2 linked regions of the Macaca mulatta genome follow. The protein of the gene in region 1 purifies or fractionates together with the protein of each later gene. This does not show direct contact. Links are inferred from orthologs where the notes say so. Each region holds a gene or a part of one and is shown in the gene's direction. Other genes may lie near its edges.

Region 1 (2,482 bases):
ACTACAATTATTTGGTTGACACGTTGTTTGAAGAAAAAGGGAAAAAGCTCAGGTTACTTAGCACAGTTCGGACTTATTTAAAAACTACAACAGCACGAACGGAAATAGACCGCATTCCCTCACTCTCCGCTGTGTTAGGGGGTTATCCAGAATAGGATTGTAGAAGTGGATGTCGATTTAATAGTTTTTTTTGTTCTCCCGTTAGCTGAGTCTCTGATTGGCAATGTGAGATCGTTTTAGCTTATTGATAATTTGAAATGCTCTTAACAGCCACAAACAAGCTAAAGAGAGGTTACCATAAAATCTTATCCCCAGGGTGTGCTTACACTTACCGTTTGTTTTCACACTAAGGAGACTTAACTCCCCAGCAGAATGCCTGTCGGGGAACCAGTTTCTTGGACCCAGCATTTAACGCCTTTCGCAGGTTTGTGAGGCCCATAAATCTTTGTTGAATAAAACAATGAGTTCACCATGTCATGGTGCTCTCATTGCATGTGCTGACATGGAACACAGGTTGTAAACCTTAACACCCATTTGGGGCATGTTGTATGGATGAAAAGGGCATTGGAAATTCCTGAAGTGCATCCCACATTGGACTGTGGAAGTAAGTTACAAGTGCAGAAACGTTTCCACACTTGCAGTTTGAGTATTAATTGCAGCGTTAGTGAATTCTGGTGTTGTCTACGATTCATTCTTCTTTGACGTGAAAGGTATTCGCGAGACACATCGCTCTAAAACATTGCCAGAAAATGTAATCGAGTTGATGACTACTAGCCCTAACACGGCCTAAAACCCGCACTTTCCTCTTCCTCCCCAACTATTCAAACACTGTATTTTACATTTCTTGCAAATTAAAAACTAACATATCTGGCAACGGACCTCTAAAACTTTCTAATAAAACTCCCTGGATGCTTGTGGGGCTGCATTTGCAAACCGCTCCCCATCAACCTACTCCCTAAAACAGAGCTGCTTTTTGAGAGACAAGCGGCACCCTCTGATGTTACTAGGTGGCAGTCGGCCTACAATTTCCTTCACAATGAGGCAATCGGAGCGGCTTTTTCGGTGTGTTTGCTTGCGTTGAGGGGAGCGGGACCATAGGCCCTAGAGGCCCCCAGGTGCTCTCTGAGACTGGGGGAAACCCTCTGCAGAGCGCAGGGGGCGCTAGGGTGCGAGGGGCGGGCACTGACGGGCACCAATCACTGCGCAGTCCCACCCTATAAATAGGCTGAGTCGGGGCCTTTTTTTTCTCGCATCCTGCTTGGTCAGGTTTATACCAGTTTACTTGGTGTGCTGTATTAGTCACCATGTCCGAAACGGCGCCTCCCGCTCCCGCCGCTTCTGCTGCTCCTGAGAAACCTTCAGCTAGCAGGAAGGCAAAGAAACCTGCTAAGGTTGCGGTGGCCACTAAGAAAAAGCCTGCTGGCCCTTCCGTGTCAGAGCTGATCGTGCAGGCTGCTTCCTCCTCTAAGGAGCGTGGTGGTGTGTCGTTGGCTGCTCTTAAAAAGGCGCTGGCGGCCGCAGGCTACGATGTGGAGAAGAACAACAGCCGCATTAAGCTGGGTATTAAGAGCCTGGTAAGCAAGGGAACGTTGGTGCAGACGAAGGGCACCGGCGCCTCGGGTTCCTTCAAACTCAACAAGAAGGCATCCTCCGTGGAAACCAAGCCCGGCGCTTCAAGGGTGGCTGCAAAAACCAAGGCAACGGGTGCGTCTAAAAAGCCCAAAAAGGCCACGGGGGTTAGCAAAAAGAACGTCAAGACTCCAAAAAATGCTAAAAAGTCTGCGGCAACAAGGAAATCCTCTAAGAGTCCCAAAAAACCCAAAGCTGTAAAACCCAAGAAAGTAGCTAAAAGCCCTGCTAAAACTAAGGCTATAAAACCCAAGGCGGCCAAGGCTAAGGTGACGAAGCCAAAGACTGCCAAACCCAAGAAAGCGGCACCCAAGAAAAAGTAAATTCGGTTGGAAACTTTACTAACCCAACGGCTCTTTTAAGAGCCACCTACACACTTCGGGAAAAGAGCTGTAGTACACAGATGAAATTCCCCCAAGCAAATGCAATACGCCCTCATTTATATTAGAATCACTTGGAGAGTCAATAGGAACTTTAACATAGGTTGAGTAGTAAATTCTTGCCAGATGAGGCTATCAAAGATAGCAAGGTGAATTCAAATGCACCGAGTTAAAGTCGAATTTTAGATCACCTGTTTTGCTTTTTTTTTTTTTTTTTTTTAAGTAGCCCGAAGTCCCGCATCTCACGACCCCAAGCTAATTAGTCATAACTGTAACGAACCAAGGTTGAAGCCTAGTCCCAGGCTTGAGGCTTTTTTATTATGCAAGGTTAAAGTGCGGACATTGCGTTCTTGGGTCAATATTGCTAAAGTAGCCTTTTCCGAAATTGGGTGGTCCTAAGAAATGCTTCTGGGATAGTAAGCAAAATTCATGGCTTAATCACGCCCTCTCCGCAGCAGTGGCTAGAGAGGTGT
Region 2 (3,660 bases), on another chromosome or scaffold:
ATTTTAAGTGCAAATATTGATCCTTATGCTGTTTTTTAAGTTAAGAAAATCCTAAACTGTCTTATAACTTTTATCAGGTACTTCCTCCTCCAGCTGGTTATGTTCCTATTCGAACTCCAGCTCGAAAACTGACAGCTACTCCAACACCTTTGGGTGGTATGACTGGTTTCCACATGCAAACTGAAGATCGAACTATGAAAAGTGTTAATGATCAGCCATCTGGAAATCTTCCATTTTTAAAGCCTGATGATATTCAGTACTTTGATAAACTATTGGTAAGTGATACTAGCAGAAATAAACTATTACATTTTGTTCCAGAATTATAAATCATAACATTTCAACTTCCCTTAACATTTTTTTCTTTTTACTGTAGGTTGATGTTGATGAATCAACACTTAGTCCAGAAGAGCAAAAAGAGAGAAAAATAATGAAGTTGCTTTTAAAAATTAAGAATGGAACACCACCAATGAGAAAGGTAAGTCTCAGTTTGTTAAATTGTCATGTTTGTTGCTTATTTATTTAAATAAAAAAAAATTTTTTGTAGTTTTTGTAGAGACAGGGTTTTGCCATGTTGCCTAGGCTGGTCTCAAGTGATCTTTCTGCCTTGGCCTACCTCCTAGAGTGCTGGGATTACAGGTGTGAGGCACTGCACCTGGCCAAGTTTATATTTTTAAAAATGTTTTTAATTTTTTCACCAGGAAAAGTAGGCCACAAAATAGTACTGAACTATTGGTATAACCCGCTGGAGTGCGGTCTTTCCTTTACTCTTCCAAGTAGCCCAAATTGGTAAAGGTTATTTAGAAAGCTTTCCCCACAAAAAAATTAGCTTTTGGTTGTGTTATATTTTTGTGTTTAGGAATTTATAATTACTTTCTTCATCTTTATCAAGGACATAGCATGATGGAAAAAAATTAGTGTGAAGGATTTAACTTTTTTGCTTGTTTTTGTTATTAATATTATATATATATGTTTGAGACAGGGTCTTGCTGTCTTGCCCGGGCTGGAGTGCAGTGGTGCAGTCTTGGCTCACTGCAACCTCTGCCTGTTGGGTTCAAGCAATTCTCCTGCCTCAGCCTCCCAAGTAGGTGGGACTACAGGTGTGCACCACCACGCCCTGCTAATTTCTATATTTTTAGTAGAGACGGGGTTTCACCATGTTGGCCAGGCTGGTCTTGAACTCCTGACCTCAAATGATTAACCTGCCTCAGCCTCCCAAAGTGCTGGGATTACAGGCGTGAGCCACCGTGCCCAGCCGTTTGTTTTTATTATTTAAATACTCCAGGGCTCAAGAGATCCTCCTGCCTCAGTCTCCCAAAGTGTTGGGATTACAGGTGTGAGCCACCATGCCCAGCTGGAGTTAGCACAGAATTCTTTGGTTAAAAAAGCTAATAAAGATGCTGAAATACGAGATTCTCCATTTCTCAAGGCCTTTAAAATATGCTTAAAGCTTGAAGATAATTAGTGAAATTAGTGAGGGATTATATTAACACTATATGTGCCTTGGAAATGGAAGATACTTTAGGGGAAGTGAAGGCTAATTTGGTACATACCTCTGTGGTTCTTTTGTTCTATTAAATTACTCTTTTGAATTAACATAAAATATCTATCACAGTAGTTGAAATTCCAGAGTAATTTGGATGGAAATGCACTCATGCTGTCTGTGTAAAATGTGTGTAAAAGTAAACACATATTAAATTATGGAAAATCTTCTTTGAGTAATTTGCTCATTCAAAATGCTTGATTGTAAAGAAACCACACCTATACTCTGCTCTTTTTCCCAGGCTGCATTGCGTCAGATTACTGATAAAGCTCGTGAATTTGGAGCTGGTCCTTTGTTTAATCAGATTCTTCCTCTACTGATGTCTCCTACACTTGAGGATCAAGAGCGTCATTTACTTGTGAAAGTTATTGATAGGATACTATACAAACTTGATGACTTAGTTCGTCCATATGTGCATAAGGTTTGTTCTTAATAGTGTTTCTGATAGTTTTAATATTTTAACTTTTTCAGTTAATCAATGTTAAATTTACATATCCCTCTAGACCTTTTTCTTTGCACAAGTACACATCATACATGTACAAATACAGTTTTATACAGATGTACAGACATTAGTTTTTATCATCTTTGCCATAAGACATTCATATTATTTAATATTTTCATTTGCTTTTATTGAGATTAGATTAGGAGGAGAACATATGTGATTCTGTACTGTGCCAGTTAGTATTAAGAACCAGTTTTTTCACCGATGTTAATTATGGTGCAGTATGTTCATGGGGCATATAAGTTATTTCTTTAAAAAATATTGAATATTAGTGTGTCACTAATAGCTCTCTTAAATTTTCATCTCTATCTGGAGTTTGAACTTGTGTAATTAAAATTCTTAAACAATTTGTCCCTTGATTAACGAAAATCCTGATAAATCTAAATTTCTTGTATATGTTTAATTCTGTACATGAGTATTTCATCAGTAATTGATGTGAAAGTGTAGCTGCTTCTCTTTTTTCTCTTTTTCAGATCCTTGTGGTCATTGAACCACTATTGATTGATGAAGATTACTATGCTAGAGTGGAAGGCCGAGAGATCATTTCTAATTTGGCAAAGGTATTTACATTTAATTTCTAGAGAAGACAATTTATTTCTGTTTATGGAATTATTTGATTATGGAAGGAAATGGTTGAAGATTAATATTACCAACTCATGACTGTCCTTTCTTTGTTTACTTTTTAGGCTGCTGGTCTGGCTACTATGATCTCTACCATGAGACCTGATATAGATAACATGGATGAGTATGTCCGTAACACAACAGCTAGAGCTTTTGCTGTTGTAGCCTCTGCCCTGGGCATTCCTTCTTTATTGCCTTTCTTAAAAGCTGTGTGCAAAAGCAAGAAGTCCTGGCAAGCGAGACACACTGGTATTAAGATTGTACAACAGATAGCTATTCTTATGGGCTGTGCCATCTTGCCACATCTTAGAAGTTTAGTTGAAATCATTGAACATGGTAAGTTGTAATGTAACTTTTTTTTTTTTTTTCTCTTTAAGAGACAGGGTCTTACTATGTTGCCCAGACTGGACTCAAACTTTTGGGCTCAAGTGATCCTCCTGCTCAGCCTTCTGAGTAGTTGGGACTAGAAGTACACACACAGCCTGTCTACTTTTAATAGACAGCTGTCCTAAAATTTGGGCTACTGATTTGGGGAGATAAATGGAAAGGCATAACTGTACAAACTATAGATTTTATGATGGGTTTGTAATATTATCTGCTAACAGGCTATGGTTCATATTTTGCTTTTACCTAATTTTAATGTGAACGTATTCTGTAGTTTGGCTAAATAGTTGATATATTGTGAGAATCTGGATGACATTGTGTGACTTAGGTAATGTTGGGGCATAGTTAAAACCTGTGTTTGGTTTTGTAGGTCTTGTGGATGAGCAGCAGAAAGTTCGGACCATCAGTGCTTTGGCCATTGCTGCCTTGGCTGAAGCAGCAACTCCTTATGGTATCGAATCTTTTGATTCTGTGTTAAAGCCTTTATGGAAGGGTATCCGCCAACACAGAGGAAAGGTAAATCCACCAATTACCTTTTGATTTATCTTCATTAAAGTTAAGGTGACATAAATCTAAATTACTAAAGTACATATATTTTTATTTAAAAATAGGG

Evidence for each region.
Region 2: the proteins of H1-1 (region 1) and SF3B1 purify together in Homo sapiens (affinity purification with mass spectrometry; 3 studies listed by BioGRID and IntAct, counting the BioPlex papers as one, with this or other methods). This does not show direct contact. The link is inferred for Macaca mulatta from reciprocal best matches to the Homo sapiens genes H1-1 and SF3B1.

Annotation. Positions count from the first base shown.
Region 1 is NC_133409.1:157,091,630-157,094,111, forward strand, and holds H1-1 (histone H1.1), read left to right. Parts: upstream 1-1,304; coding exon 1,305-1,952; downstream 1,953-2,482. UniProt on the Homo sapiens protein: Histone H1 protein binds to linker DNA between nucleosomes forming the macromolecular structure known as the chromatin fiber. Histones H1 are necessary for the condensation of nucleosome chains into higher-order structured fibers.
Region 2 is NC_133417.1:102,341,154-102,344,813, reverse strand, and holds part of SF3B1 (splicing factor 3B subunit 1), read left to right. Parts: intron 1-77; coding exon 78-275; intron 276-373; coding exon 374-475; intron 476-700; exon of another isoform or gene 701-836; intron 837-1,781; coding exon 1,782-1,961; intron 1,962-2,515; coding exon 2,516-2,602; intron 2,603-2,728; coding exon 2,729-2,999; intron 3,000-3,417; coding exon 3,418-3,563; intron 3,564-3,658; coding exon 3,659-3,660. UniProt on the Homo sapiens protein: Component of the 17S U2 SnRNP complex of the spliceosome, a large ribonucleoprotein complex that removes introns from transcribed pre-mRNAs.